Linked DNA regions of Daphnia pulex. The protein of the gene in region 1 interacts with the protein of each later gene in a biochemical or structural test. Links are inferred from orthologs where the notes say so. Each region holds a gene or a part of one and is shown in the gene's direction. Other genes may lie near its edges.

Evidence for each region.
Region 2: of the proteins of serine/threonine-protein kinase Warts-like (region 1) and MOB kinase activator 1B, one has a biochemical effect on the other in vitro, tested with the Drosophila melanogaster proteins (2 studies listed by BioGRID). The link is inferred for Daphnia pulex from reciprocal best matches to the Drosophila melanogaster genes wts and mats.

The regions. Positions count from the first base shown.
Region 1 is NC_060026.1:6,948,752-6,953,237, forward strand, and holds the start of serine/threonine-protein kinase Warts-like, read left to right. Parts: upstream 1-1,440; 5' UTR 1,441-1,789; intron 1,790-2,046; 5' UTR 2,047-2,196; coding exon 2,197-2,409; intron 2,410-3,874; coding exon 3,875-3,944; intron 3,945-4,059; coding exon 4,060-4,486. Other genes in the region: uncharacterized protein LOC124206172, read right to left, coding at 1-321, 386-414, 493-647, 722-862, 923-1,015, 1,234-1,409. UniProt on the Drosophila melanogaster protein: Negative regulator of Yorkie (Yki) in the Hippo/SWH (Sav/Wts/Hpo) signaling pathway that plays a pivotal role in organ size control and tumor suppression by restricting proliferation and promoting apoptosis.
Region 2 is NC_060026.1:14,193,799-14,197,832, forward strand, and holds MOB kinase activator 1B, read left to right. Parts: upstream 1-1,637; 5' UTR 1,638-1,891; coding exon of another isoform or gene 1,892-1,905; 5' UTR 1,906-2,001; coding exon 2,002-2,200; intron 2,201-2,265; coding exon 2,266-2,493; intron 2,494-2,565; coding exon 2,566-2,729; intron 2,730-2,805; coding exon 2,806-2,886; 3' UTR 2,887-3,523; downstream 3,524-4,034. Other genes in the region: uncharacterized protein LOC124203813, read right to left, coding at 1-48, 107-235, 302-430; protein ABHD8-like, read right to left, coding at 3,747-3,863, 3,937-4,034. UniProt on the Drosophila melanogaster protein: Coactivator of Warts (Wts) kinase in the Hippo/SWH (Sav/Wts/Hpo)signaling pathway, a signaling pathway that plays a pivotal role in organ size control and tumor suppression by restricting proliferation and promoting apoptosis.

The DNA.
Region 1 (4,486 bases):
TTTGGCAATTTCCTTTTTGTTCAAAGGAGTGGAAGGGATCTTGGTCTGGAGCCAAAGTTCGTAAGCGTACTGGTGAAGGTCTCGCGACTGAATTTCATTGAAAGAATTCCGACAGCCCATTTCCTTAAGAAGCACTACTAGCATAGACACGGCTAGTTGCAATTCTTCAGGTATTACTGCATGCTTGGAGGCAGCCGAACCCGTATTCTTCCCTTCCTCTGCCATTTTCGTTTTGGCAAGCATCATTCGAGATGTGGCCCTCTTGGACTCGGGCCAATAAAGATCATAGCTATCTTCTTCTTCGGTACGCCAATAATTTTCCTATTATTAAATTTGCATTCATGTCTGCGCATAAAGGAAAGTTAAGAAAAAAAAGTGTCTTTACCTTCAACCAATCCATAGCCAAGTTGGCGCCTAAGAAATTCGAGAAAAAAATTTGAGATGAAGAATTTTTAAAATTTAAGAGTTATCGTAGAAAGGCGGTATGTATACCTGGCCTCAAGATATCCAAAGAAGGCATCTTGGCGTGGGTAGCCTCGTGCCGAATACTGACAAGCCAGTCGGGAATCCCTGCCATTTCGGCAATGGCGGATATGGGTTGATGTCTTAAATCTACTTGTCCTAAATGAGATATCAAATTGATGAACCTGTGAACAAAGATTTAAATAGGTTTAAGTATTGAAAGATACTTAAACATGTAACTTAACATAGTAAGAGTTACCTAATGATGGCAGTGGAGTACATTAAAACCACATCGTTTTCAGACAGGGCACTGTTAGGATCCATCTTGTATTCCTCATCACGTAAAATTGCTTGTAACAAATACAAAGAGCATTCAACACCTAGAGATAGCTTGTCAACCCTAATAAAAAATGTAAATAAAAATTAGTTTATCAAAATTATCATTTTATAAATGAATTACCTAGATTTCCACATTGTCATTTGATTCAGTCCCGCCCATCTCTCCTCAATTTTGTTAGAGTACACTTGTTGATAAACCCGTGTCCACTCTTCCCTAAAGACAATTGTTCATGAATAACAAGCAAACTACTTTTCATAGTTATAAAATAAATATTTAAATAATAAAAGCATAGGTAATTAGGTACGAAACATTTAACATGTACGTGTACGTTAGCTTTTGGCATTTGAACCACGTGACTTCTATTTTAAATGTTAACCGTAAATTAACCTATTTGACAATTTCTAGTATTATAGAACTTAATAAAATTTTACATGGAAATCCATGGGACTATTCGTTTCGTATTGTTGGACATCAGGAATTCTGTGGAAAAATTCGAAACAAGAAATTTCGAAATTGAAAATGAATAACACACAACAGCGTCTATCAAATCAACTCCTCGTTGTTTTTTTTTCTTTTCTGTTTTTATCGTCTGCTTCAGTACCAACATTCTCCGCTAAGGGGACGCTCTCAATCAATGCCCTTGAAATTTTGTATTCACGTGAAAAAACGAATTTTTATTTGTGAAATCGTAAAACCTTTGTTTATCTTTTAGATGAGAAATATGAAACAGTTGGTTGATAAAACTTATTCAGAGAACAGGATTTGAAAGGATCACGCTCAGCGTTTGAGTTAAAGGAGCCTTTGAGGTAAAATTCTCTCTTCAAAGTGAAACCGCCAGAGGGGCAACTAGGCTTATAGTCTGCGCTGGCTTCAGTGTTATTCCGAGCTTTTTCGTGACGAATGTTGTTTTGTCCGTGTGTGGACTTAATGTTGCATCGAAATTTTAATGTTTGTTCTACGTATTATTGCTAATGGATAACCGTTCAAGTAAGTAGTAGTGCTTTTAAAAATTGAAAATCTTTCGTCAGTAAAAACTCGAGTTTTCTTTGGGGCCGTCCTGTGCTCGCTCTAAAAAAAAAAGTTCTTCCAAGATGGCGGAAAATGCCAAACAGTCTTGGAGGCTACAGTCATGGTTCTTTTTCTTTCTCGTGTTGTGATTAGTTTAGACCTGCGTGACTCACGACTGTTGATATTTTGCAAAATGTGTTTCTAGTAAATTTTAATTCTGTTGTTTGATCTTGCAGGTCTGTGATTATTGCACACCCTGACCTTGGATGAAATTTCTCAAAGTGAATGAACTCGTCAATTTATGAGTACTACAGTGAGTGACACAATGTGGATCAGTGCAGCTTTCTGGCCATGTCAGTTTCATTAAAGACTATGGGCATGCCAGTATGAGCCCTGGAGCTGAAACTAGCATGAGCAACGCAGTTGGAAAAGCCGATCGGACAGGCTATCACTTGAAAGCCCTGCAAGAAATTCGCAACTCTCTCAGACCCTTTGCCACCGAGAATGGTAGTCCTCTGCCTACCATACCTAAAGATGGACACATTTCCTACCAACAACACATTTACCCTTATTCGACTTCTTCTTCTGGATACATAGAGGTAACTTATATCAATCTCTTATGCTGTCTATGTATTATGTTTTCTATGAGATACCATACTCTTTAAGTACAGTTCATGTAACACGAATAGATTGTTAGGTTGTGCAGATATTTCAGTTGCAGTAGTTTCATGTCAAGATTAGTTTGCCCATGAAAATTATGTACCATTGCATGTGATGATGCAACAATGATAGGAATGAAATTCTCCTACGAGTCTGGCATTCTTCCGGCCAAAAGGAAGGGCAAGTTATGCCGTCGGATAGGTCCGGACAAACGGTCGTTTTTTTGTTGTCGTTTTTTTTATTCTAAATTTTTCCTCCTTTTCTTAATCTGAAAATCCCCGTACTGTCTAGTGTCCATCAGGTATATATGGAAGGAGGGGCGTTTCAGGGGAATTTTTGCGTCCGACTGTGAGGTTACTGATTGTGTTTGTTTTGAAATTTTCGCATTGTAATGAACCTCAGAGAGTTCGGTCAGATAAGAGATTTATGAAGGTGATGGCAAACCGAGCACGCGCCTGAGGGAGTCCATTACCGCGCCAAGTATTTCTTCGATGTTGGGTCGAAAAAGAATGCCGAGAGCGGCCACCCGAAAATGATGGTTGGCGTGTCGTAGCGGAAGAAACAAGAAGAAAGGGGAGGGATATGGACCGAGCAGATGGTTCGTGGCATATGCCTGTGCTGGAGGCGCTCCTCTTTTATACGACTAGACGACCGTTGCAACACCCCAAAAACTGATATCACACATACTGATTGACTAGCGTGGCTTGAGAGATGGACTCGTAACCATCAACAGGACACACAAAGAGAGAAAGAGCGACGGTGTGACGAATGGCTCCAGAATTCCGAACGCACGCCTCATTGACCTTGCACCTTAGTAGACGGAATTCCTATGTGTTCCATCAAACCACACGCACACATTCCGGGAGACATTGTATGGCCTACATTATCGATACCCGCCTGTTGAATGGCCGCACAGAGCGAAAAGAAGAAAATAAGGGTTCGGGTTTCGACCGGATCTATTCGTTTTTGCGGGATTGCATTCCTGTCGGTGTGTAGCAGAGAGCCGCCAGTTGGTCTGTTTGTGCTGGCTGCGCTACTGATGGCGTACGCTATTTGACAGCCCTCCCTCGTTCCATCTTGGTGATGGTCTACACTCTTGCACATGTGTGTGTGCCTTCAACCGAATCTGGGCTATTTTTGGGGCGGATGAGGTGGTTGGAAAGAGAAAGAGGGAGTTGTTGGCATTCTTGAACGGTTGTTAGAAACCCGATAGCTAGACCCGCTTTCACTATACACTCGTCCCTGGCCTCCTCCTCCATATCGTCTGTAATTGAATTTTTCTTTTGATGGCTGTCTTGAAAAGAGCCCTTTTTATTAGAAATGCCAAGTCGAGAATAGAAATAAACAGCTGTAGAGGCATGAAGGAAAGTTGACTTCGTTTAACCTTTTATTTTTCTGATTCAGCATGAAAATGGAAGCGACGGCTACTTACAGCGGTCCGACGGCCAAATTCTGCAACGCTCCGCTACGACAGGTGAGTCACGCAGTCAATATTTTTTTCTGATAAGATTTCAAGGGTGATTTCAAATCCGCTAGCTGATAATAATAAATTGGTCACGCAATAACGGTTATCTTTGCATTCCTCACAGGAGCGTTTCCGCCTTCATCGGGGCAGCAGGTACACCGGAAACCGAGTTTTGAGCGAGAACCCAGGAGCAGTCCGGCTTTTGATACCAGTTCGGCCGCTTCATCTAACCGTTCTGATAGCCCAGCCTATTTTAATGGTCTGGGACTCGTTCGTGGTCACGTAGCACCCGAAGCACCGCCTTATTCGTCAAGAAATGCCTACCCGTCGTCGTCAGATCCGCCACCTCCACCACCGCCGCCTCGAGGTGCCACTCCGCCACCTCCTCCTTTGCCCCCACCTCCATCGGCTGCATCTAAATCAACAAACAGCCAACATTATCCTAGCAACTTTCAACAGATGCTCAAACGAATGTCACCCGTGCCTAATGCACCACCTATTCCGGGACCCCGTGGGACCAGTCCGGCTCCAGCTCTTCCGCCCGGTCGGCT
Region 2 (4,034 bases), about 7.2 Mb from region 1:
TGAAAGGACATTCTTAAATCTGGAAGGGAATCTGCTGGATTTGGCTTCCTGATTTTTAATTCAAGTTGGTGTCATAACAATTTTGATGACGTAATTATGGTGATACCTGGCCATCCGTTAGTGGTTCTTGCTGCGTAGTTTCCCCATCCGCTGCTGGTGTCGAGGATTTACCGAATGGAAGGACATTCTTGAATCCGGATGTGAATTTACTCTTTGATTTACCTTTGCTGTTATTCTTCATTTATCGTTGTACAATCAATTAAATTTCATTGAATTGTAAACTGGCACGTTCAAATAATACCTCGTCACCAGGGGTTAGCTCATTTTCATCTATGACGTCTTCTTCTTCCACTTCAACCGGATAAATTGCCGAGCGGATAGGTTCCGGAACAACAACAGGTGTGATTTCGTCAGCCTCGAAAGGATCCATCCCTTATAGAGCCGTTTGTGTCTAAATAACTGAACATGAAATTCAATCAACACTCAGCCTCCCCAATCAGTTGCTGTCCCCAACTTTGATGATGATAAGAAATGTTCTTTTTTCTTTTATCGCACACTTGATTTGATAAATTTAAATCTTTTGTAATACGTGCATCTCTATCGTATACACTACGACCAAAATGTAGTAGGCCTGTACGATAAAACTAAATCCATCCATAAGTCATCCGTCGCTCAAAACATTTTAGAATAAATTATTGTTTATCCGTAGGCCCATTTTGATAGAGGAAAAATACAAAAGACAAGCTACTGGCGTCTGTCCTTTTAACCAAAAAATCTAAAAAACAAAAGTCTATACACACGACTGACGGGGGGCAGCAGCTATAGGATGACGCCACAGCGGCGCCTCCAATCTATTGGCCATTCCGACCGAGTCGCGTCGCGTCGTCGCACCTGTTGGTTTGCTGTTTGGAATCTCGGAATTTGTTTTCACCTTTTTTGGGGTCTTTGGCTGGAGAAATAAACATTTTTTTTTCATGATGGTTGAAAGAAAAAACAAAAGAAAAGAACTTGTGTGTGTGCATTGCGATTCGGAAGGTTAAAGGATGACGGGGGGTACAGGTGTCGAAGTGCACACACACACATCGGGAGTCGGAGGGAAAAGGGAAATTGCTGAGCTTCTTGGAATAACATAAGAGTCGCTGCTGGACATTGGCGCCGGGTTGTTGATGACTTTTTCCTTGACTCTCTCTACACTTTTCCAGCGGAGGTGTAGACACACACACACACCACGGGTTTCTTTTTATTCCCTGATGTTGTTTTTTGATACACATTTTCTTTTTCCTTTTTTATTTTTTGTTTTAAAAATTTTTATTTGTGGGAAGAAGCTCCTGGTGGTGGGCCATCATCTCAGTGGGAGATCAATCCCTTTGGAATTTGATACTTGTTTGAATATAGAAAAACAAAAGGGAAAATGTTCACACTCGATGAAAACGAATGCAACGCTCTTGTTTGATTAACTCCTTTTTTTTCGGGTGGAATTATTGAGGGATTTACGAGTTGGATTCCATCCAAAAGTTGTGGGGTTTTGATTTCAAAAAATGAATTATTTCTGGGAAATTTGTTTGTGACGAGGGGGGGGAATTCCGAATGGACTTCCGCCCTCGTCGCCATCTGTCGTTGGATTTATTCACCATGTGGTGATGACATCATCTATCAGAAGAATTTTGATGACAAAGTAAAATATTTTTAGGTTGAGCAACAACGAAAGTCTTTTTCCCGTCTGAGGAACTGCCAACAAATCTGTAAAAATCGACGACATCTTACGTTTTTATTCCATTTTTCAATCGCCATTATTGACTGTGATCGCTATTCAAAATTACCCACCCTCCCCCGCGCCGTTGAAATTGGGCACTGTCGTTGGGGAGAGAAGTGAAAAAAGAAAAACAACAAGATGAGTTTTCTGTTGTAAGTTTTCATTTGTTGTTTATCAGTCAGAAACGAACTAGCCCAGAGAGAGTCGTTGTGGTTGTTGGTCTCTAATCAATTGTTTTGTTTACATCCATGGCTGACGGCCGTTTGCTTCGCAATCGCAGTGGGAGCCGTTCGTCCAAGACGTTCAAACCCAAGAAGAACATACCTGAAGGAACTCATCAGTATGATTTGATGAAACATGCAGCTGCCACACTTGGCTCAGGCAATCTGAGATTAGCAGTCATGCTGCCAGATGGAGAAGATCAGAATGAATGGGTCGCTGTCAACAGTGAGTAATCACATTCTTGTAGATTTCCCGAATCACGACTAGACATTCTCTTTGTCTCCTTCCAGCTGTTGACTTCTTCAATCAGATCAACATGCTGTACGGCACAATCACAGAGTTTTGCACAGAAGAAAGCTGCCCCATCATGTCTGCTGGCCCAAAGTACGAATACCACTGGGCAGATGGTCAAACAGTTAAGAAACCCATCAAATGTTCTGCTCCAAAGTACATTGACTACCTCATGACCTGGGTGCAGGATCAGTTGGATGATGAAAATCTATTTCCATCCAAAATCGGTGAGTCATTTTATTGATGCTGATAACAAAATGGTAAACAATAGTGACACAGACTGGACTTTGTCTTGGCAGGTGTTCCATTCCCCAGAAACTTTTTATCAATAGCCAAAACTATACTGAAGCGCCTTTTCCGTGTCTATGCTCACATTTATCATCAGCATTTCCCCGAGGTGGTACAGCTTGGGGAAGAAGCACACCTCAATACCTCTTTCAAACATTTCATCTACTTTGTCCAGGTCAGTAAAGTTTGATCGAAGAAACAAATATATTTTAAAATCTTGTATTAAACGACTTCAATTTGAAATTTATCAGGAATTTAGTTTAATTGATAGAAGGGAGCTGGCTCCTCTCCAAGAATTAATTGACAAGCTCGCCAACAAAGAAGGAAGATGAACTAGTTGTCGCGGATCGTGTTGTTGCAGCCACTTCATATCATTTTTTTATTCATGAGGCCTTGAAACTGTCAACTAGAGTCTGCTGTCAATTCGTTTTACTTTTTCACAAGGATTTATACGTAGGATCTGCCCTTCCATCAATGCCACCGTGCATCTTTATCACACACACACACACACGATTGATAACTCCCCAAAACTTCACCAGAAGGATCGGTCTATCTTTACAAATGTATCCTATTATTGATCGTCACAAAATTGTTTAGGGAAAGCGTATGATTCGAAAAGAAAAATTTTAAAAAAGTGCTTTGTCCACATTGATGAGTGAGATCCCCCCCCCCCCCATAATCACGTCACATTTTTTAAAAGAAATCCTAGCGCGATGATTTTCCTTTTTGCTTTCATGATGATGGCGTTTTCCTCCCATCTCTGATGAAGTTTCCGAGATAAAAAAAAAGCCTCTCCCTTGTTAGACTGTCGGTGAAACAAAAAAAAAAATTATACTTTATATTATTATTATATAAATAATTTTGCGCGCAAGTTGAGAACGGCCACGAAAATGTTCTTGTTCTTTTTTGTTTGTTTACCTTGTAAGTGTAAATAAACAAGTCATGTAAATACATATACAGACATCGGTACACAGGATTCTTTTGGTCCGCGAAATTCCCTCGAGTATATTGGATCGTTTTAATTGGAAAATGAAAGATACAAGGAAAAAAGGCGTATAAAACTCGCGTAATAATAATAGGAAGGCACAGCAGTTAAAAAAGTAGATCGACGGTGTAGTTTACATGTTAGACTAATAAGTCAAAGAGTCTAGTTCCTTTTTAGAAAAATTAAAAAATTACAGGGGAACTATCGTCAGCGCTGCCAGTGTTCGAAGAATTTGCGTAACATCTTGCACAGCTGAGTTGGAGCATCCGACATGATATCATGGCCGGATTCTGGTATCACCTCAAGGAAAGCACGTGGAATAGTCTAAAAGAAGGGTACACAAAGTTAACTAGTTAGTTCCAGTCGATTGAGTTTGAAATGAACAAGAACGACTTACTCTTTCCATTTCGCACATCTCGACCAAGGAGACAAACGGATCCTTTAGTCCGTGAACGAGGAGTGTGGGCATCACTATTTTGCGGTGGAAGGCAACAT